2 linked regions of the Oreochromis niloticus genome follow. The protein of the gene in region 1 interacts with the protein of each later gene in a biochemical or structural test. Links are inferred from orthologs where the notes say so. Each region holds a gene or a part of one and is shown in the gene's direction. Other genes may lie near its edges. The genes, in order: wbp11 and pqbp1.

Region 1 (12,321 bases):
TTTGTTGTTTTGTTTTGTTTTGGTTTGTTTTGTTTTGTTTTAGAGGTATAATGGCTCCTTAGATCCGTCTGGTCGATGTCTAATACCTGCTGCTAATTTTAAGTAAACAGGTCACCATTTTTATACTACACATTTCACTAATTTCTAAAAAATTATCTTTTAAGTTTGGATAATGCAAGGGTTTCATTAAGTTACCCCTGTCAGTTTTGATGTTATGATGACCAGTGCTGGTCAAGTTACTTGAAAAAAATAATTAGTAACTAATTACTGATTACTTCTCCAAAAAGGTAATCCCGTTACTTTACTGATTACTTATTTTCAAAAGTAATTAGTTACTTGGTGACTTAGTTACTTTTAAAAAACATGATACACAACCTGAATAGATAATAAAGCAATAGACCTTTCAGCCCAATTCTACTTTTTCTGCATAATCCATCATATAAAACTGAATCAAATAAAAAAGTCTGTGTTCAAAACTTGTTTTATTCATTTTAATCTTTTAACTTTGTGCACATTGCATCAAGCAAAAATTAAATTACATGCAACAGTCTTTGAATTGAAGAAATTTGTTTAACAATTAAACCTATTTTCTGCATATTCCAGAATATAAAATAAAATAATTTTTTGTGTGTTTACACTCTTTCAAATAGATGCAAGTAAAACACAGCAGAAAACAAATAAAATCAAAGACTCAACGGCACTGAGTCCTGTCGTTCTTAAATCTATTGTCACCTGTTTAGCAGGAGTGGAGCAGGCGGAGGTGTCAGTGGGGGGATCCGGGGGTTTCTCTGTGAATTTCACATTCCTGTGGCAGCGTGCTGGGTACTTGCTCAGAAGTTTGGGGAGGGGGGGAGTTCTTCCCACACAATGTACAGCGGACGCTAATGTTTTTGTCACTTTTTATGGAATTAAGTAAGGTCAGTACTTCCACGCTTTAGGTTATGTGGCATTATCTGCCACATAACCTGATCTTTGCTGATTGACTGGGAGAAATTCACCTGGTTCTACGAAATCACAGTGAGTCATAACGAGGACAATGTTGATGTTCGTTTAGGTTACCAAAACTGTCTCCTTGCACAATGAAGGGATTATTAGACTGAGAGGTAAACTGCTTCTAGCTCAGTCATGTGGAATAGTTTCCACAGAACCCATTTAACATCAGCACTAGTAGTGATATAATGATCAACACAGAGCATGAATTACAAATAAATACTTGTTGGTTTAAGAAAAAATACATGAACCCCTTTAAGAAGTTTAATAGATGTACAGCCACAAAGACCAGAACACCTAGCGGTTCAAAAGTAAAATTACCACATTGTGGGGATGCTTGGGGCTTCCCATGCTTTAATTAGAATGTAATTATCTGTCAGCAAGGAAATACAGGTTCTTATCAGGGCGAATTTCCTGAAAGTGGGTGAAGAGGTGGAGCATGAGGAAATGAAGATCTTGGTACAGGTTCTGACTGCTTACTTGAAATATGAAAAATAGGGCACTGGCTTTAGCAGATGATGTGCTGCTTTAACTGTTTAAAGTTTATCCCCTCCCCTCTCAGTATCTTGGATATATTTGGCATTCTTTTAATTATTATTATTATTTATGTATAGCAGATATGAGGAGTAATATTAATTGCTCCGTGAGGCTGACTGACTTATGTGACAATCCTGTGAGAGAAGATGTGTTTTTCTGCCCTTCTGCCAGCAGCCAGAGGGCCTGTTGGTCTGCGAGCCAACAATGGTTAACATGTCATAGTTTCAGGTTTCTGCAGTGTATTTGTTCTGTTTGCTCATTGTTACATTGGCTGTGTTTCTGGTTTTTCCAGCCCGTAATGTTCGTCTTCATGTGTTAGATTTTCATGTTTTTGTCATTTCCTGTTTTAGTCTGTAGGTTAGGTTTTTTTCTGTCTTTTTCAAGCCTTTTTCTTGCTTTTGTTCCCCTCCTTTGTGATTGAATGCCCCATCCTCATTACTCTCACCTGCGTTTCATCATATAATTAGGCCCACCAATTTAATGCAGTTTCCTTGTAGTATAAGTTTGACATCCCTGGTTTAGATCCAGCTTATACTTTGGATGGGAGGAGTCATTTATGTTGTTGTGAGCCTTCTTCGAGCTGCTATTCCAGGGTATGTTGGGAGTGGAGGAGAGCTGGGCATACGAGATCCCCACATCTTCTCTCGTAGTGGATAGTCTTGTCTTTCCCCTTTGTCAAGTTGTTAACCTATCCTCCTTTTTCTTGTGCTCAGGTGTTGGATTCCTGTTCTGTTTATTTCCTTGTGCACAGCTTAGTTTACTCTTTGGGACTTTTTCCTATTTTTGCATTACGCCAGTAAAGATGCATATTTGTTATTTACCTTCCTTATGTGCCCTGCACTTGGGTCTTCTTACCAGGTTTGAAGGTGTGCCATTGAACAAACAGAGTATCTTCTGTTCTTTCATTGATGGATGAACGGTTTCTTTGACAGACATTTGTGTGGGTAATCACACTTACCGAAATCCACGTTGCACAGTCCATGTATAATGGCATTCGTTTTTTTGTTTTTGTTTTTTTTAAAACCACTTTGTTAAGCAACATGAACTCTGGCTATAATTTAGGTTAAGTATTTGTTAGCAGTGCAATGATTTGAATTGTGGCCTCTCAGCAACAAAAATTAAATTAAATTAAAAAATCCCTTGTTCAGACCCCCTGATGAGCTGGGGTTTGCGTTCTCATTTTCTTTCCTCCCACAATCTGAAATAAACTCAGATGAGCTCCAGATAAGGGCTCAAGAAAAAAAAGTTCTTTTACTGATGCAACAAGAAAACATATACTGTATTCCATAAACGCTGTAGAGTGTGAATGTATGTCAATGTTATGTAAAAAAAAAAAAACACACTAGAAAAAGGTATGAATGTGTGTGTGAATGGGTGAATGAGGCATGTTGTATAAAGTGCTCTGAGTGTGCAAGTGGAGCAGAAAAATGCTGTATAAAAACCAGACCATTTACATTTATAACATAGAGGCATTTCAGAATTTAGTATTTAGTGTTGGTATTATTTAACTTTTGTTTTGTGGGTTTTTTTCTTGTTTTTTTCTTGCACCACCTAATTTGGTTGTGATACTGTGACAGTGACTCACTGACAATAAAGTCTCTTATGTATTATATAATTGTCCCTTTTAGTTTTATTTAAAATCTTCTCTCAGATGTAACTGTTTTCTGTTTTGAAGACCGCAACAAAACGAATGTCAAAAACTGACCACAGGGTGATATATCGAAAGAAATCGTCTTAAATCCATTTCTGAGGCTGGGACAGACAGTGCGTTGCATGTGGATTCATGAGCATGAGCGGTCAGAAATACCACCAAAGACTAAGGCACTGCAAACTGACAGAGCATAAGAGAGATTTTTATACAGACACCTTTTGGAAAGAAGTTATTTCTGCAACACATCGCTCTAGAGATTGACTTTGGAGCTGTACAAAGCATAGCTGTTTCCACGGTAAAATGCTGACACCTATTGGTCAAAGTAGGTAGTGCAGCGGGTTCAGTACAGTGAGTAGAAAGAGAGAATTTGCTACTCTCCGGGCCATTTATAAAATAAGCACAACTTATGAAGTCCAGTATTTTTAATTACAATGAGCTGATGTGATATGCTGTGGCAGCTAAACCACTTTTGCTCTGTTCTGACGTATTTTCATATGATCATTACGCACCACTTTGATGCAGTAATTATGTGGATGCCCAAATATTAAAAAAAAAAAAGCCGCCATAACTAAAGTTGAACTGGGGGAAAAACTCACTAAAAATAATTATTACAGGGATTTTTAACAGTAGGTACAAAAAAGCGTGATTTAAGCGAGCGTGGTTGCTATGCGTCCCCAGGTTCTATTTGCATTGCATCTTTTGATATAGTTCAGACACATTTCACTCGACGTGTTGTGCAAAGCTACAAGGGATTTCTGCAAATTTCTGCAAATTTCTGCAAAAGTAAGACACCTTTCTGCTCAAGACTTCTTGCAGCCTTACAAGAGTTCAACTCCCACCGTCACGAAGGAAAGCGACCCAGCATCCATCATCCGTCATGGACAAGGTGAGATTTTATGACCGTTTTCAATATAGTTTGGAAGTTTTGAAAGAGTTCACTTTGCCAACAGGGCAACGTGAAAATATAGAAGACATATATGTGAATAAAAGGCATTAAAAACTCCCAATTTAGGCCTACACACGTGGGAGTTATGCTTGCATGTTAGACTGTTGCACTCTAGCTGTAAACAGGGTAAACTGTGCATCATTTAAACTTGCATGTTACCTATAATGTTTTCTTTTGCGTGTATTAAATGATCTTGTGGCAGACATGTCACCAAAGTTTGCAGCTGAGATAAAAAATGTTCAGTTTTTGCTAATAAGTAGAGTATCCTACATCTGTGATTAACTGAAATGCATAATGATCACCAGGGGGGGTGCATGTTGCTGTTTGGGGGGATAAAAAAAGTAAACACTGAGACTTTATTCACTGTAGAAAAGCTAATCCCTAAAATGTTTATTTACAAATTAGCAAGCAATGATGTTCAGCATCATCTGAATTCTCAAAATCATTTAAACCACACATGACCGAGCTTAGCCAGTTACAAAGGTATTTTGTGCATCTGCATTGTTCAAAAACGGCAATAAGCAGCAATGATTATAACAGAAATTAGAGTTTAATACAACATGGACTTTGGTGTTTGTTAACTTATGTAAATTATTATTTGAAATGTCATTTGGGGGTATGCAGCAGTGAAGCTCTAACATGATGAGCCCATAAGTTGACAGTCTTTTATTACACTGACCTTGATGCATTGTCCTGGTTTTAGTTCTTATGATTTTCTGTGAACATGTTGGATATTTTTTGTCGTTACACTCACTGTGGACAAGTTATTCAACCATGCAAGTGGTTTAAGTAGTTTTTGGACATATTAAAGGGTTTGTTTGTTTTTAAATGTTTCATGAACTACTAACTGATGTTTGCATTACTGTCATTTTTGTGTATACCTGCAGCTTACTGTGCCCGTTCACCTCAAAGACCATAATTATCGGATGAAAAACACTGCATGCCGGGCCCGTGATGCAAAGAAACCCAGAGCCTGCAGCAAACAACCATGCTGCAGCAAGGACCAGGTTGGATGTGTAAAATTTCATTAACAGAACCATTTAAGGATTTTGGAGTTTGGACTTCCATGTCGTTCATCAAATTTAAATTTTTGTCTTGTTTGAAAAAAATGAGGTCATTAATAACTACTGACATTCCCTTGTGTGCTTCTGACCTTTCTCCAGGTTATTAATTCAACCCTGAGGCCCCGGCGCTCTGATAGAATAGCCAGTCAGCCCCAGAAAAGGAAGCGAAGCCCAGCATCCAGTTCTTCCCGACCTTTGGTTAAACCTCGAAAGAACTCGGTGCCTCCCTCTGCTATCTCACATGACGACCTGCCAGTGGCAAAAAAAATGCCCCCCAGACCCGAGCCATGCAGTACCGACCACCAGCCAACCAGCTCCGGTGACAGCCCTTTAAAAATCCACAATCTCTCAGTGGAAGATTATCAGCGACTCTACCATGAGGTGGTAGATAGCATGCTGACGTACGTTTGTCTCCAAATCTCCTGTCACTTTTTAAAATCGCCAGCTCTAAAATGGTTACAGTAGGTTTTTGACCACATGCATCATTTTGATTGAATTTCTTTTTGCAGGTACAAGAATGGCCGCCCTCGTCCCTACAGTTTAGAGCTGGGGAGACGCATTAAGAAAAAGCTGTGGGAGAGACTGAATCGTCCTGTGGTGCAGACATCAACTAACGAGGATGGACTTGAACACATTGACATGGTGTATGGGCAAAAAGTCAAACTCCCAAACTATGATTTTGACATTTCGAGTTAGCCACATCCTCAACATCCACCGAGCAAAAGAGGAAAGGAAAACTGAATGTAGAGCAGCAGGAGCACTGCTACAAGACATACAATCAAAAACTGTGAAACACACAAATCAACTGTAGATAAAATTACTGTAAATATATGACAAATGTTTTTGTAAATAGTTCAGATGTGACTTTAATGATTAAAATGTAATTTCTGCACAAGTTTGTGTGTCTGTATATTATATTCCACTGTGTGTTTGGACAACTGTTTAAGGTCACTCTCTGAGAACATGCACTGCACAGTACTACAAAAATGTGATGCTGGATGACATCTGCATTTCCATTCAATAATTGTCTCTTCAAACTATTTCATGACTGCCTGACTGATTTTAAAAACGCATCAACCATAATCAGGACACAGCCACAGATTTTTGGATCACATGATGAAAACTGTAAACCTCCATAGGACTTTTATTTTGAAAAATCACTATTTATATTATTATTTATCTGAATCAAAATGGCTAATTTGAAGTCCTTGTTGACCATAATATATATTCAGGCACTGTGAACAAAACATAACATCCAACTTTAATTCACTAGCACGTTTGTCTTTTTAAAGACAACACATTACTTAACTTCCTTGAATAAAGTGCAGAATGCTAGAGATTTATGTCATTCTGTTTGCAGACTGTCTTATACAAAAAGAAACTTCTTTTCATCAGATGTGACTTTTATGCAGCCTTCATTTATTCAGGTAAAAAGGTGTCACTGACATTAAAAATGTCGTTTTCAAACGAGGTCTGGCCTGGAGGGCTGCAGAAGTTATAAAAAATCACAGTCCTTTAAAGAACTGTGATGTTCTTCAAGTGGCCGAAAAGGACTGGATGGATGGATATAATGATTCATAGAGCTGCTTTCAAATTGGATTTATTTAACATATAACCCATTTTTTAAACTCTGTTTACTGCAGCCTATTTAACAATATAAGCAACTATATTAGACAAAAAAACAAACATAAAAAGATATCTAGACATAAAAAAAAACCACGCAAAAAGTGATTGGCATACGCAACCCAACACATACGACCACTTTTTGGCACACCAGTGCAGTGAGGTTGTAATTGCTACTTGTAACCATCGGGGGGCAGTATCGCTAGAGTGCAGTCTTGGATCCTGTAACAAGAATCACCCTTCGTTATCGTTAGAGCCACATTGCGCCATACAATATGAAAATAATAAAGTCCTAGTATATGTACAAATACTATAAAGTGAAGTTTTAAATAATACCGTTTGTCCAGTTAGTTTTATTTTTCTTTCACTGCTCGCTTGTTTTGATGACGTCAAAATCGCCTTTCCGCTTTCATTCGCGGCAGTAAACATGGCGGACGGTTAGCGAAGCCACGGTGTGATTTTCAATTCTGGGGGGTTTGGATTTCTCTTTAAGGGCGTACGCAAAACGCGTTGCATTGCTTTTGGCACACGGAGGTGTGCGTGTGTGTAGGGCGTTGTGCCCTGTGAGTTTTTACTGAATAAAAGGTACAGTGCATTTTTCCCTCCTGTGCTGCTTTCGTTGCTAACGCGGGCCTAGCTATAAGTGCAAGCTAACGTTAGCCGCTAACCTGCCAAGCAAATGCTTTTGACCGGCATGATTTAACATATATATATATATATATATATATGTCTGTGTGTTTGTGTTACAAAAGTGTGATTGGCTCTGTGGTGTTTTTCAGCTCATTCAATAGTTTAATTGTGCAAAAGCGTAACACATAGATGTTGGGGGAGCTTAGATTGAGTCGTGCGTTGATTGTCAACTTTCTTATCTTCTTTGCTAATAATAGCTAACAGTAAAGTTCTTTAAGGTGTGTATTGCAGACAGTTTGGTTAAATTGCCTTGATATCGAAGTTAGAATTAACAAAAAGGAGACTGCAGTTTGTCAAAAATGAATTCAAACATTGTTTTAAGTGTCATTGATTCATAAATATGAGCTAAAAGTGTTATTTTACGTTGTGACAAATTCCGACTTGTTTTTGAACGTACCATAAAATAACAACGTATGGTTTCCTTTACATTTATCTTCTCTTCTGTTTTGCTGTATTACATGGCAGCGTGAAGCAGACCCACCGTCACAATGGGGCGACGTTCAACCTCCTCCACCAAGAGTGGGAAGTTTATGAATCCCACCGACCAGGCCAGTAAGTGCTGATAACAAACTGGCGCTAATTCAATCATGAATTGATCTCCTGAATGCTCAGTTGCTGATTAGATATAAAAATGGTCATTTCTTTCTCCCCCCAACCCCCACTCCTACAGGAAAGGAGGCCAGAAAAAGGGAGTTAAAAAAGGTTAGAACCATTCACTTTTAAAAGAAGATAATTCTAAATATGCAGGATAATAATACTGTGATAATATGATGGTAACATCATTTTCTTTTGGAAATATTAGAACAAGAAGCAGAGGATGATGGTGAGAGCAGCAGTCCTGAAGATGAAGGATCCCAGACAGATCATCAGAGACATGGAGAAGCTGGATGAGATGGGTGAGATGACAGGGCTGAGTTTATGGAGTTTACATGTTAGAAATATATTTAGTTGTAGCTATTTAGTTGTATGTTTGCCACTAGTAGAGGACCTGAGCTTGTGGAACACGTGTATCAGTAGAGTTATACTATATATAATTCATGTGTGTATTTAAGGATTTCAGGCCTTTAGGTAACAGCAGAAAATCACAGTCAAAATCTGATTTCTACAATTCATTTGCTGCTTTTCTAATGAAAATAATTACTTTGTTTCTGAACAGAGTTCAACCCAGTTCAGCAGCCGTTGCTGAATGAGAAGGTGTTGCGGGACAAGAGGAAGAAGTTGCGTGAGACATTTGAGCGCATTGTTCGTCTGTACGAAAGAGAGAATCCCGAAACCTACAAAGAGCTACGCAAACTTGAACTGGACTATGAGACCAAAAGAGGGCAGCTGTCTCTTTATTTTGACTCAGTCAAGGTGTGTTGAATCTACATGACAGTTTGGGGGGGCGGGGTTCCTCAGTTTATAATAAATCTTGCATGAATTGATGCAGGGATGAGAGGTATATTGTATGCACATTTTCCTACAGGCTTGTGTACGCCTTGTTGGCCTGGAAAAAAATCTTAAAAGTCAGGATTATTAAAATTTTGGGGAGACACCAAAACCCATTACTCGTCTTTTATTTGTCTTGAGCTTGAGTGCTTCAGATGTGTGCTCCATTACCTTATTTATCCTTTGTTGTGCTCTCTGTTTACTCTGTTGTGTGACGTTTCCTCTTTTTCAGAATGCAGAGTTGGTGGAGGTTGACAGTATCCCTCTACCAGACATGCCTCATGCCCCATCCAGTATCCACATCCAGGACATCCCATTACCAGGGGCTCAGCCTCCCTCCATATTGAAGAAGAGCTCCACTTTTGGGTAAGACTCATTCTATGAGTAGTAAAAGTTTCAGCAGTTAAACTCCGTATGTGACATTTAGAATTTTAATGTGCAGTTGAGTTAATTCTGTTTTTATGCATGTCTTAGTAAAGGACCATCGTCCTCCGGACCAGCATTGGCAACAGTGCCAGGTGTCCCACGCTTACCTCCAGGGAAGAAGCCCCCTGGGCCTCCACCTGGCCCCCCACCTCCTCAGGTCCTGGCACTGTATGGACCTGCTCGACGCGGTTACGGCACAGATGCAGGTGAGATACAGCCAGTTTCCCTCTGATAATCAAATGATTTTTTTTCACCTATAATTTAACATTTCTTCTTGTTACACTATTTCTCCTTTGAACAGAGCCTTCCATTCCTGGATTTGAAAAGGACTCTGCAATGGATTTGGGGAGAGATCGGGACAGCGGGAGTGAGAGCGACAGAGATCAGGACGATATTGATGACGACAGCGACTCTGAAGACATCAGTGAAGAAGAGAGAGATGAAGGGGGAGATGGCGAACAGAGAATGCGCTTGGACAGGCAGGACGATGAGAGAGAACGAGAAGAAGATAGAGACAGAAGTGAAAGACATGGTGGTGAGTGTTTCTGACTGCTTCAACACATTTAAGCCTCAGCTCACGTCTTTGTTGCCTTTATTTATCTCTTGATCTTACAACTGTTTGTATTCTGTTGTATTTCTGAATTTGTTATTGTTTGACTACTGCAGGTCGTAGCGTACGTTTCGCAGATATGCCTGCAGAGGCACCCCGTGACGGAAAAAAGAAGAAGAAGAGGGTTGTGAAGAAGACCAAGGCCATTACACCTCTGCAAGCCATGATGTTAAGGATGGCAGGTACTGTCAATGCTAAGCACTTACTAAGCTTGTGCTCCTCTGTTTCTTTTCTTTGTATGGAGATATGCTATGGCATTTTTATTTATTTATTTTTTGTCTTCAGGTCAGTCAGTTCCTGAAGAAGAGGAAGAAGAAGAGGTAGAGGAAGAATACACAGATGAATCAGACAGCTCTGACATAGAGGACAGAGGCCCTCCAGGGGACAACCAGTCCCATCTCATGGCCAATCAGCGACTGCCCCCTCCAGCTGGGACCACGGGACAGCAAGGGCCTCCACACATGCAAGGGCCACCGATGACAGGACCTCCACCACTTGGTCCACCTCCGGCACCACCAATGAGGCCTCCTGGTCCACCATCTGGCCCACCTCCTGGCCCCCCACCAGGTTCGCATTCTGATTAGCTAAAAGATTGAATGCTTCAATTCTGAAGTGATACTAGAGTAATTTCCTGTGCCTGTTCTGTGGGCGTCTTCTACTTCTCTAAGTGTGAATGCTCTGCATCGTTTTTTTCAAAGAGATCTTCTGTTATCTTCAGGTGCTCCTCCGTTCTTGAGGCCTCCTGGCATGCCTGCAGGAATGAGGGCTCCAATGCCTCGGCTTCTGCCTCCTGGGCCTCCACCAGGTCGACCACCTGGTCCTCCACCAGGCCCCCCTCCTGGCCTTCCACCAGGCCCTCCACCACGTGGTCCACCTCCCAGATTACCACCCCCAGCACCACCAGGTAGGCACATGTGTGTGGAGGCAATCTAAAGATATAAAATAGTGAGAACTTCTGTTGAATGCATTTCTCACATATGTTTTTTCCTCCTTGTAGGTATCCCACCTCCTCCCCCAAGAGCTGGAGGGCCCCCGCGTCCTCTTGCACCACCTCTCTCTCTCTTCCCTCCACCTCTCAATTCGAATGTGCTGAGTGCTCCTCCAAACATTGTTCAGCGGCAAAAAGGCTCAGGATCCAGCCAGGACGGTTTACAGGCCAACCTGCAACCCCCTGCTATGCCCATGCGACCCGGTGTCATGCAGATGCCCCCTCCGCCTGGGACAGCTGCTGCCTCCACAGGCACCAATCCTGGCAGCAATCCCCCCAGCCATCACCACGCGCCCACCATCGAAAAACGCGCAAACATCACCTCTGTTGCAGCTGCAGGAGGCAACCTGGCGGCAGGTGCCGGTGCAGGCGGGGCCACCATCTCTGCCAAACCTCAAATTATCAATCCCAAGGCAGAGGTCACCCGCTTTGTGCCCACAGCGCTGAGGGTGCGTAGGGACAAGGTTGGAGCAATGCCAGGAGCAGCACCTGGGCCCATGGAGAAAGCAGGGGGTTCTGTTGGAGGAAGGAGGGGAGATGAAGGTGTGGGAGTAGGCCAGTGGCAGAAACAGCACACCGCAGCAGCTCCTATGGGCGTGGCCAATCCATCTCAGATGGGTGCTGTGTCTCAGCCCAACATGAAGACTAAAGACCAGGTGTATGAAGCCTTTATGAGGGAGATGGAGGGACTCCTCTAAGACTCGGGAGCGTACTGCCGATACTGATGATCAGTGTGGCGAGCTGAACAACAGCAGTGTGTTTGTTTTGTGTTTTCTGTGCAGAGTTATAGAGGTAGCCGTCTTCAAGCTTTCAGCTAGAATCAGTTTGTCTGTCACCTACCAGCGAAAGGCCACTACACCCTCAGCTTTGTTCTCTGCAGGCTCATTCATTTGATCTGGGTTAGATTTTTGTTGCATCAACAAGAATGTGCATTTCAAAAAGAATAAGAAATCTGTTTATTTTACTGGGTAACTTGCATAGTCAATTCAAGAGAAGAACACTATGCTCTGCACAGAAGTGCTTTTTCACATCCAGCATATTGTTTTGTTTTTTTGTTTTGTTTTTTAACTCTGAAATTGTGTTTTTCCTCCAACCACCTGTTTGCAACTTGAACTTAGAAGCAATCTCGATTACTTTTTTGTGTTTTTTTTATTGCAGGTCTCCTAACATCAAAATAAAGTTACAGAATGTTTTCCAACCACTGACAAAAGTAAAAGTGTAAAACTGTTTGATCTTCAGCCAAATAAAAACTCAAAAAAATGGTTTAATCTTGTTTCAGTGTGAATCGATCCGCGAAAGAAATTCCCATGTCGTATTTTTAGCCAATCCCTGGCGTTTTTGGTCGTAAACACAAACTTCCATCAGGCA
Region 2 (11,759 bases), on another chromosome or scaffold:
AATGAATCTGTCATGTATCCTGCAAATTAAGGAGTAAAGGTGAAGCACTGGTAAAGACATAAATTCACTTTCCTTCCTTCCCTTCTATGTAAGGCTACAGACCTTCTCCTTTCTGCACTAAGTTGGGTTTCCCTTTGCAGGAGTCAGGATGCCTGATGTATACTCCTCCACACAGAGGTTACATAACGAGCTATACATTGTCTAGCATTCCTCTTGCATGCTTTGCCCCTGCTTAAATGTCTAAATAAATACTTTATCTGCAGACAAAGTCTAAATTGTGCACTTGTTGGATTTTTCATTTAATAGTAAGGTTTTAGACTTCTGCATGGCTATATCTCTTTAAAGGCTCTCACCAGTTGCTCTAGCCCACAAAAGTAACGTGTCCTCGGGGACCTATTTTCCTGGCCACTAAAGTAAAAACCTAGCAACTCAACAAGTGTCAGAGTGTGGGAACTGCTGTGAACCAGAGTGGCTGGTAACTGTGTCTGATGAGTAGGGTTATTTGGTTAGGTAACAGGGTAGGCATTTGGACAAAGGCAGTTAGCGCTGGGCATACCCGCCCACTGTGGGTTTAAACAAGTTTTTAGCAATTCCTACTGGGATAATAATAACCTTTAGGAGCAGAGACTTGGACCCTTTAGACAGCGAGTTGGTCCAGTCTCTTCGTCACTGGCTTTTACCTTAATGTTTCTACATTAGAGATGCCATCAAAACATCTGAATAACAAAAATATGCCAGTTTGTATCACATACAGAAGGTGTTTGGTAAGTTATTCACTATCAAGCTGTTTTATTCATATCCATGTGTCCAAAAACATATCTTTGACCCACACTATCATCTGTGATCTGGCATATGATGTAAATTTTTGGTAGCTTTGTCAAATAATTTTATATTTGTTCACTGAATACTTACTAGTTTGTGGTTGGTTGGGTTGGAATCATCATCTGGAAACGGCTTGGTGACACCCATGGCCACACAGTTGGCAAAAATGGCAAGAAGAATGAAAATGTCAAAGGGCTTGCAGACTCTAGTTAAGGCAAGAGCGGGCCTTGTGAACGTATCTCTCCAGGAAAATATATGAACCAAATGATTATTAATAAATGTGCATCATATGCAGGATTAAACATACACAAACCAAAACACACCACATGTGCAGAGAAAAACACTGCAACCCTCTCAGAGAAAAGGATATTTCCACTCCACCAGGGCCAGCGCTGCCATCCGGATGGGGTTGCTAAGGGTGAGGCAGCAAAGAGCTCGGGGGGCCCTGAGGGCAGACTTGTTTGCCTGCATCGCCTTCTTGGCGCCCCCTCCTCTTTTTCTGACCGAGCCAGTTGACCCGAGGGTGTCTGATTTGCCTGCATCGCCCCCAGGGAGGGCATCTGAAAATAAATAAGTCAATATATACATAAAGATTAAAAAGGCAGGGTGAAAATGTGCATTTTCACACACAGTGAATGTTAACTGTGTTGGGCATGGGTTGGGTTGTTTTACTGTAAGTAAGGATATATACATGCAAGATAACAGTTTCTTTTGTTTGGGGGCGTAGATTCAGTGTAAAAAAAATGCAAGTTAAAGAATGTTTTGCCCAGTTCCAGTGTGCATTTGCAGTCCTGTTTCAAGTCATGTTACTCTAGCATTGTTTATGCGAGCTCAGATTTTATTATCTAACACAATTAGGAAAGGATTTGACATGTGGCTGTGGCAACAGGGAGGTATTCTGTCCTGGAGGCCTCATATTATAAGACCAGATGTGACCTACTTCTTTAGTGGGAGCAGTGTGGCACTTAGCCCAGCCCTATCCCCAAGTAGACCCACGAACACCTGTTGACAAGGCACTGCACAGAGAATAAGCCTGAGGGTACTTTTATCATCCCATCCGTGAACAAACTAAACGAGTAGCCAAGACATAAACTGTCTGCCCCAGTAAGAAAACTTTGAATATGAGACCAGCTGTGCATTTTCTGGTTATTATAAAAGCCCCTTTTTTAATTTTACTATTTAGGTTTTGTTACTTTTCAGAAAAGCGTCATGACAAAAATGTTTCTGCTCATCTTGCGTTTGTCTGTTTCCACTCAGAATAGCTTTACAGTGCAATAAAACATAGCAAATGTTACGCGTGGCTTTGCAGTGAAGGCACACTAAGCACATTCCTGTACGGCTGACAGACCATACCTTTCTTCGCCGGGTCCATTTTCGCAGGTTTCGCAGGTTAACGCCACGAAATCACTGAAGAAAACCACCATCAACTCCTCACAAAATCTGTGATGCGTAATGGATCACAGATTTGAATTTGGCCCCCAAAGAGAGAAGGAAAAAAAATAAGGACCATCTGTAGCCTGTCATTTCATATCCACATGCAGAAAGCCGGTGCAGCTGAGAGGCTGCGGGCCATTCTGTTCACCGCCTGTTTGTAGCCCATAAATCCAATTAAAGCCGCTTTCTGGTCATTTCTTGCGGTGAGTAAATGAAGACTGCAATTAAGTTTATCTATGCGGGCACACAACGGTGAGGAATATTAAAGCAAACGCGTGCATATATTCGCGGCGGCCAGCCGTCAGGATTAAAGTAGTTGAGCCGTTTAAAAGGATGACAAGGGAAATCTTTCAAGGGGAAGGTGGAGGTGGAGGTGGAGAAACTCTCCGGCTCTGTGGGAGTTTGCTGCGATGTTTTAGTTTTGAGAGAGAATAATATTAAGAAAATAGTCCATCAAGATGAAGAAAACAGCTGCAAGTTGAGACCCCAATATTCAGGACCTTGGAGAGAAGCAGCCACTGTATGCAGTACCGGAAGGCCGGCGACGGGGGGCGCCAGTCAGCAGTAAATCACAAGACTGCAAAAATATTCATCATATTATACATTACCTGAAAAAGAAGTCACAACCATGAAAACAAAAATCGATCACATTTTTAAAGATTATCTGAAGCTTTATTATTTGTAGGAACATTGTTCACAGTACGTTTATTACGATAAATATTTGCTGACAGTTTGTAACCAGATCGATTTGATAGAATTTTTTTGTGGATGGTGCTAATTTCAGGAAATAAGAGACTTTCAGGTTTTTAAAAAGTGCTTTGTTGCTTTATGCGGCAATTAAAGTGACAAATGGTGCACAGACAACAGACTAGACAAACACTTATAATCAACAAAAACTAAAAAAAAAAAAAAGTTTTGCTGAGTTTCTACAAAAATAAACTCAAATGTCCTCTTTAACACCTCACAGGTAAATAAATATTAATGTTAATATTCGAATAAATATCTTTCTAATGCAAAACTTTAAAGATGTGCAGTTTTCTTATTTTAACTTTCTGCCTTTCAGTCATTAAAATACATAATCAACCCAAGTATAAGATCTTTGGAAGCATAAAGCAGTTTTTGGATAAAACTAATTTGGTTCCTTGAGCAGTGTCTCCAAGAATACAAATGGGCTGAAAATTATTTATTTTAATAGATACATGTTGCTATAATGACTAAATTAACTTACTATGTGGTTTTGAGAACTACACATTGAAGAAAATAATAATAAATATTGAAAACATTGATTTTTCAGGTGGTGCAAACATGAGGAAATTATTAACATTTACTCATAAATAACTGAAACAGTAATTTGTCCCTGAGGTATGTATTAGCATCCAGTAGGGACCAGTATCTCCACCTCTTGGTCATCCTGGTAGATGCTGTTCATGTGCTGGCATTCCTATTATCCTTTCAGTTGTCCACAGCTGGCTTCAGTCCTGAACCTTCTCTACTGAAACTGCCCCCTTTGCCCCTGATGTTGATGATCTCCATCCTTTGGCGGTAACTGACTAGGGTCGTCTGCAAAGGGAATTGCTGGAGAAATCAAGGAAGAAGACACAACAAAGTCAGTTTTTCATGCTTCACTGGCATGTAATCAAGATATAATCTATGTTTCCCTCAGGAACATTTATATGAATATTACTACTGTCTAGGTCTGCTGTGCTTTCAGGCTTTTTGGTTTGGTAGCCTTCCCTCGGCTCATCTCATCCAAAATAAGATATGTCTCAGCAGGTTATCTAACTTGAGCCGTGCTGGAGGAAACCTGATGCTCATACATTTGACTGGTTATTCACAGTAACACTAAAAAAACTATTTTAATAGTCTCACATTCTTCAGCATTTTTTATAAGTTGTTATATCATTAACATTGTGAGAAATTGTGTTCTTGGGAAAAATTAATCAAACAGGAAACACAAATTAAACTGCACAAGAACCTTGAGAGAGTGGACGATTTTCCTCAGGTTCTTTAAAACATTTTGATAGAAACAAAAAATGCTACGAGTGTGGTGAGGGTGAGTAAAAATGGGACCAGTGAGATGAAAAATGTTGCCCTATGCCGAAGTCCAGCCATAACTGAGGAGTGGACGCCAGTACAGGGGTATAAAACCACTCACACATTTAATCATGTGACATTTTGCTAAACTACTGATAAACCATTGGTTCTGTGCAGTTTAAATATCATTTCTGAAACATAATTAACTTCACTCACGGTTCTGAAACTGCTGCGCTGTGTATCTGGTTAGGAGAATCCCAAAACCCTCAATGAGAGCGAGCAAAATCCCCCCCATCATTGCAGAGCCCATCATTGTTAGAGGTCCACCTGAAGAAAAATGCAATATTCAGCGAGTCACACTAATTATCCCAATGTAGAAACCCAATTGTAAAAAAAATTGGAATTTTGTTTACATTTTACACAGCGTGCCAACTTTTTCAGAATTGGGGCTGTATTTACTGACACAGAGAGACACAGTGGTGTCTTGTTTCTTTTGAGCTAATGAGCTCCTTACTGCGTGCTGCTAGGATGGCTCCAGTCAGCGCACCACTGGTTATAGAGTTCCAAGGATCCTCTTTCCCTCTCAGACGAACCAAACCACAGTCGATTGTGGAAAAGAGCCCTCCCCATACAGCAAAGCTACCTGCAACATAAGAAGTAACCAGACTTCAGCTACTTGTATGAAGCTAACTGTACCTAAACAATTTAATCTACACAAAAAATGGTATATTACTAACTAACTGCCATGTGTAACAAAAAACAGGAACTCCTTACCTCCAATCTGTGGAGCTCTAACTCTCACTGCTTTTGCACTCCCTTTCAGCCGGTGTCCGACACCCTGAAATATTAGAGCTCAGTTGAATTCTGCCTTTAACAACCTGACAAGCCAGAGAACAAACAAAAACCTGTGTTTTGAACTCACAGCAGGGGCATTTCGAAAGCCCTTGACCGCCTGGAACACCCCTCCTCCAATTGCACCCATTGTGAAAGCACCTCCACAGTCATCCACTATCCTCCAGGGGCTGGGTTAAGAGAGAAATGGATATTTATGTGACAGGAAAACTGACAATGGGGATATATCTGACAACTAACATCCAGTACATATACAAAATGCAGAAGTTATCTATCGGGGTCTGGATGACGCCGAAGACAATATGGGCACAGTTCTGGCCGAGAAATGTATATTACCCAAGGATGAAGAACTAGCTCCTTAAATATAACTAAATACTCACCTCTGAGTTATGTTTGTGTTAGAAAACATATCAAACATCATAAATGAATATGTCAAACAGCAGTGAAAGAACTAATGAGGTGGGGAGAAGGGAAGTGACAATTTAGTATTCTCCTGCCATAGCCCAGGTTTGATATGTTGTCCATTCAGAGATGCTATACTGCACACTTCAGTTGTAAGGAGTGGTTATTTGAGTTACTGCTGCCTTCAGTTCAAAGCAGTCTGACCACTCTCATCTGATCTCTGACATCAACAAGGCTTTTTCAACCATATAACTGTTGCTCACTGGATATTTTCTCTTTTTCACGCTGTTCTCTATAAAACCCTAGAAATTATTTTGTGGGGAAAAGGCTGTAGTTAAACATTTTCGAAAATATTGAAAAGATCGGCCATTCTGGCAAAAACAATCATGTGATGTTCAAAATCAATAAAAATCAAATGTTTGAACTTCTCCAGCCTGAACTTCAGCAATGCGTCATGACCATGTCCATATGTCTAAATGCACTAAGTTGTTGCCAAGTGACAGAATGTAGGTTTACATTAATAAGTAGGTGGACGGGTATGCCTAATGAAGTGGCTGATATCTGGATTCTTTATCCCGTTCCTTTGAACTCTGTCATTAAAGTTTGACTTGTAGGGGATCAACCTTGACTGGAGGTGTGTCTTAACTTGATAAATAAATAAATAAAGCTTCATGTACTGCCTGTTTGGAACCATATTTTGAGATTAAAATACCCACTATTTTTAATTTCTATCCTAACTCCAGCTGTCACTTAAAAACAGCGACATTTTCAGATAAAGGTGACTCTACCAGCTTATTGTGTGTGCAGAGGGCGCCTCCATATAACAGCTTTATCTTTTTTATATGCCTTAAATAAGCAGGCCGCAACACCCACAGAGCCTTTCTGCTCACTCTCACATCAAAACTGAGTATGAAATTAAAAAGTCAACACTTGACTCCAACTTAATTAGTTCTAAAATAAAAACAAACGCTTAAATTCTAATCTTACCAGGGCTCTCGGGCATACTCCTCCATGTCTGTTTACGTCGTCGTCTTCGTCAAGAGGACGTGATTACGTCATCATTAAGCGCGCCGTGTATGCTGTTTTGGAAAGAGGTATCGTTAGCTTGACGATAAAAAAGGGCCACCTTTTTTTTAAAAAAAGGTAAGAATTTAATTATTTCTTATTGTTCAGTCTTTTGAAGTAAAGGTTAACATTTGTGTTTGTGTGGTGTGGATGCTTTTTGGAGACGCATAGTTTGGTTTATTGCGTTATTCTTACATCTGCAGCCACGGATGCACCGCAAGCGTGTTAGTTTCTTGTTAAAGGAAACATTTCGTATTGTACATGGTACAAATTATTACAAAGAAAACATATATATATATATATGTATGTGTATATATGTAAATACATATATGGACATACATATAAGACAAGGAGCTAGTAAAGTTTTACCTGGAATTCACGTAGGATGGCCATATAACCTAAGAAACTGATTTATTTATTAGGATTGTGAAGTTACTTTAAGTTTTATGAGCAGAGGATTACTTTAAATGATGACAGGACACATAACAGTTCAGGAGTTTAGTCATTCTAAGACCTACCAGGATGCATGCTTTAAACTACAATTCATGGATATCATTGTGATATCGACATCAAAACAGCCAGCTGTAATGTATTGCAGGAAATGATGGTCTACAGACGTGACAAGTCTGCTGCAAAAATGTGGTTCTGGGCAGTGTTAAAGCTGCTGTTGATAGAATTATTACAGTAAAGGCATAATCTCCGCTTATCAGAAAACAAGAAATGTCCTCAGAGAAAATGGACAAAACAAAATAATGATAATAATAAGAAGAAGATGAAGAATAAAAAACAGGTAAATATGGGAACTGTTTCAAAACCAAGTGTTCAGTAAAGTGTGAGATGAATAGTGGACCAAAAATATTAAACTTAATGATGATTAAAAAAAAACAAAATTAACAGACTTGCAATTTTGTGTCTAATATATAAAATAACCCATTAAAGTAATGAAACTGTTACAAAATGTGCTTATATTAAAGATCACTAAACTATATAATGGTGGTAATCATGTGCATTTTACTTTATGGCCACATGTGACTCAGTGGTTTGTGTGTAAGTGATGAGTTTCTATATGTCCTAATTAATCAAAGGGTACATATTATTGAAAGTAAATGATATGTATTATATTATCTGATTTATGACCAATCTAAGACTATTTTAATACTGTGTAATAATGTGTTATGAGCATTTGTTCTGCAACTGTTATTTTGGTACCCCAAGTGAATTTCAGCCGTAATATGAACAGTGTTTCACATGGACTCCGTCTTTCAGGATGCCTTTACCTCCAGCACTGCTGGCCCGATTGGCCAAGAGAGGGATTGTTAAACCAACAGAGCAAGGTAGTATAACAGATTTCATATTTGGGTCTCTGTCCTTCATGGATTTCTCCTAATGTTTTGTGCTGTTTAAAAACCTTTTCCCCTTCAATTAATCCAGGGGCAGATGAGGAGATTATTGCTGAAGATTATGATGACAACAATGTAGATTATGAAGCCACCAGAGTGGAGAATCTACCACCAAACTGGTACAAAGTGTTTGACTCTGCTTGGTATGTACACTTAATATACTATAATTTAATATAATAAGAATTTTATACTTTAATTCAAAATGATTATTATAAACTTCACAATCAGAATGCGCTAATTACTTTTTCTTTCTTGTTTCTCATTTTATTCTTGAGAAGTCAAATTCTCCTTGAACATTATAACTACTGTCATGGAGAGCTAAAGTGTATTTTTAAACTGTTAAGTAAGTTTTATTTAATTTTGTGGTTACAATATTAATCACTAATGTTTTATTTTCCTTACACAGTGGTCTACCTTATTACTGGAATGTCGAGACAGATATGGTTGCCTGGTTATCCCCAAATGACCCAACTGCAGTAATAACAAAACCTGCCAAGAAAATAAGAGGTATGCTTTTATTCAGCCTCTATAATGTAATGTTTTCAAGAGGCACTAATGATCACAATTTCAGTCCTCTTACAGTAGACGTGTGTTACTTTGCATGTACAATCTCAGAATACAGTTTGCTTTTGACAGATTTCAGCCATGGCTAATCTTGTGATCCTTGCCTTAACTTGTGTTTTTAGTAGAAGGAGGAGATGAAAAAGGCGAGAAGCAAGTTGAGAAACCAGACAGAGACAGGGACAGAGAACGACACAGAGACCGGGATCGGGAAAGGGATCGAGATCGGGAAAGGGACAGGGAAAGGGACCGGGACAGAGACAGAGAGCGTGATGATGGGAGGGACAGAGACAGAAGAAAGCAGAGAAGAGATGAGGCAGCACCATACAGTCGAAGCAAAAAAGGTAATGTTTACATCTGATTCATTACATGTTTACACATCGGCGCCTTTCACATGATTAAATATTGAACACCTAATATTTTTTACAGGTAGAAAAGATGACGAGATGGACCCCATGGATCCAAGTGCTTACTCTGATGCTCCAAGGTACAGTACAGATGGTCACCTTGATATAAGCTATATACGGGTCGTTCTCTGGTACTCCGATTTTGCCAGAATCATTGTGTTGCACTTGTTGAAAAAATAGTTATGAGAGACAGATCAAATCAATTCCCATCATACATTTTTATCTTAGACGAAAGAACTAAACCCTCACACAGCACAGCTACAGTGTTCGAGTGTGTCCCCTCAAAATTCAAAATGGTAATCAGCAAAGTTGATATCCCTGGTTTACGGAGCTCACATAAATCTACATTTCATGCAAGGCACAATACCTCAACAAGAGGCAGATTTTATTGCAGTAGCATAATGTTCATAGTGAACTGGATTAGGTTTCCTCCCATTTTCATAAAAGATGCTCTGCTAAAGAGGAAAATATATACAGGATTGTAGCACATTTCCTTAATATTTGACCAAATTTGACCAGCTTTTATCACAACTCACTTATTCCCTTAAGCATAAAATAAAGACTTGTAGAAAGGCCTCATATCCTTATGAGCTCTCAGCCCTCAGAGTGGGAACGTGTGAACACTGGGAAGGGGCCATACACTTTATTTTTTTAAAGAGCATTTTGGCTTGGCATGTCAGAGAAAGCACAGGTATAAAAACAACTTAAAGAATGGCTCCATACTACTTCAGCACGCTAGTTCCATACCCCTTGTATGTGCAGTCAGTCTTATTGTTGCTGTAAATGCAACATACTGTAGCCATCATTAACTAAATTTACCCCATTTGCAGTTTTCCTGCCACCATGAGCCAAATTCTCTGCTGTGAAAATGTCTATTAAAAAAATCTACACCTCCAGGGTTTCTGTTAAAAATATTCCTAAAACAAAGCTGAGATTGTCATTGCAATTTGATCAAGGTTGTTTTCTCAGGCTTGACAAAACCCCTTCTCAGCCACAGAAGACATTGTAGTGCTGATTACAAATGCAGTTAAAACACAAACGTATTCATTTTTGCAGGGGGTCGTGGTCAAGTGGGCTGCCCAAACGCAATGAAGCAAAAACGGGTGCAGACACCACAGCAGCGGGGCCTCTCTTCCAGCAGCGTCCGTACCCGAGTCCAGGAGCTGTTCTTCGGGCTAACGCAGCAAACCAACTACCCAAGGAGTAAAAGCAGATACCATGAAGACAGCATCTTAAAACCCACAACTCTACAGTTGGTCTTCATTATGCTCACATGCTAAACATCATAGTTTGACAGGCTTTTGTTTCATTGTGAAATGTGTACATGTCAGAAATGAAAGGCTGAACTTTTTGGACAGCTACTCTATTCATACTCCTGCCGTGTAGAGCATTTGTAAATATGTTTTTATATGACCCAAAGGTTCACTTCTCATTGTTACTAGACCTATCAGTGAACATGATAATAAACTTAAGACTACTGTGAAAATGATCTGTTGCAGCTTTTTCTCAATTGTTGCATTGCCATATGTACAAGGAAAAAAAAATCTTGACAAGTTTTTATTACAAAATTGAAATCTTTTAAAGTCCATAATACTTGAATAATGAAAAAAAATAAAACAGCTGGGATGAAGTGGATGGAAAAAGGACAGTGAATATTACAGTAAACATCCGAAATCAGTGGTCTGCTGCTGCCCCAACATAGTGACAAATGGAGTCATAGTCTAATGTGAACACTTTATCCTCGTATCTGTCGAGCTGGACCATCGCTCTGCACTTGTTCTTGTCCCGCTGAAGAATACGGCCAACCTGAATCAGGTGGGAAAATAGTGATCAGTAACAGCTAATCAGATTTAAACAAATACATATATATATGTAAAGCAGTGAGGTTACTTTGCTCACCTTTCCCTTGTGCTCACCCAGTACCACCATTACAGAATCATGTTCACTTTTTGGGACAATAGTTTCCAGCATGTCCTGCTTCACATCTGCCACAAGAAAAGAAAAAAGAAACGCTGGGTCATTCATTGAAGAAATTCTACAGTAATACCAACTAGGCAGCACTCAGGAATAGAGCCAGCAGATTCTGACATTTATGTTTGCTAATAACCAAAAAGGAAAAAGAATCAAATTAATCCCCAATCTGGGAAGTCTGGTTGTCAGATTTAAGTCAGCAGACCGACCTCTCAGGACAACAACCAATGCTTCCACTATAGCCAGCAGATATCTGTGGTAAGAAGTCCTGTTATTATTTTTGCAACAAATACATTTTAAAGAACAAATAAAATGTAAAAATATTATTCCAACTCAAGGTTATATTTTGGCAATAACAATAATCAGTAATCCCTCGCCTTGCTCTTCAACAGGACCATTTACCTGTAAGTAATCTGCAAACAGATTCTTGTCCTGCGCCTAAAGATTCTGAGCACTTTTATGATGACATGATTTTAAAGTGACTGATTTGACATGATAGCATTGTGTAAAGTTAGCTGTTGGAAAGCACAACTGCAGCCAGAACAATATGAAGTTAATTTCAAACGAAACACAGAAACAAAACTTATCATGACAGAAAAGATCTGAGTATAATCCTAACAGATTAAAACTGTACATATCTCTCAAATTAACTAACTGTAAACAGTATAGAAGACTGGTTATTCTGCAGATTCAGTAGTGCCAAAAAGAATAGTTCAACCATTTTTTTTTTTTAAAAATCCATATTTGCTTTGTGTTGTTGAAAGTTAGCTGCGAGGACCTATACACCTTTATATTTAAATATGCAAATGTG

What was found.
Region 2: the proteins of wbp11 (region 1) and pqbp1 form a complex in vitro, tested with the Homo sapiens proteins (2 studies listed by BioGRID and IntAct, with this or other methods). The link is inferred for Oreochromis niloticus from reciprocal best matches to the Homo sapiens genes WBP11 and PQBP1.

Annotation. Positions count from the first base shown.
Region 1 is NC_031969.2:9,049,982-9,062,302, reverse strand, and holds wbp11 (WW domain-binding protein 11), read left to right. Parts: upstream 1-7,207; 5' UTR 7,208-7,396; intron 7,397-7,966; 5' UTR 7,967-7,989; coding exon 7,990-8,053; intron 8,054-8,171; coding exon 8,172-8,203; intron 8,204-8,303; coding exon 8,304-8,397; intron 8,398-8,657; coding exon 8,658-8,854; intron 8,855-9,161; coding exon 9,162-9,295; intron 9,296-9,403; coding exon 9,404-9,561; intron 9,562-9,656; coding exon 9,657-9,890; intron 9,891-10,021; coding exon 10,022-10,147; intron 10,148-10,250; coding exon 10,251-10,532; intron 10,533-10,683; coding exon 10,684-10,869; intron 10,870-10,962; coding exon 10,963-11,651; 3' UTR 11,652-12,221; downstream 12,222-12,321. Other genes in the region: uncharacterized protein C22orf31, read left to right, coding at 4,056-4,064, 5,012-5,131, 5,288-5,589, 5,698-5,884. UniProt on the Homo sapiens protein: Activates pre-mRNA splicing. May inhibit PP1 phosphatase activity.
Region 2 is NC_031984.2:10,671,811-10,683,569, forward strand, and holds pqbp1 (polyglutamine-binding protein 1), read left to right. Parts: upstream 1-6,557; 5' UTR 6,558-6,687; intron 6,688-7,875; 5' UTR 7,876-7,876; coding exon 7,877-7,943; intron 7,944-8,040; coding exon 8,041-8,152; intron 8,153-8,415; coding exon 8,416-8,516; intron 8,517-8,695; coding exon 8,696-8,914; intron 8,915-8,999; coding exon 9,000-9,057; intron 9,058-10,033; coding exon 10,034-10,184; 3' UTR 10,185-10,463; downstream 10,464-11,759. Other genes in the region: cacna1fa (voltage-dependent L-type calcium channel subunit alpha-1D), read right to left, coding at 913-969; voltage-dependent L-type calcium channel subunit alpha-1D, read right to left, coding at 1,177-1,382, 2,176-2,194; timm17b (mitochondrial import inner membrane translocase subunit Tim17-B), read right to left, coding at 3,746-3,831, 4,507-4,617, 4,805-4,933, 5,065-5,128, 5,213-5,312, 6,532-6,557; gpkow (G-patch domain and KOW motifs-containing protein), read right to left, coding at 10,652-10,783, 10,877-10,962. UniProt on the Homo sapiens protein: Intrinsically disordered protein that acts as a scaffold, and which is involved in different processes, such as pre-mRNA splicing, transcription regulation, innate immunity and neuron development.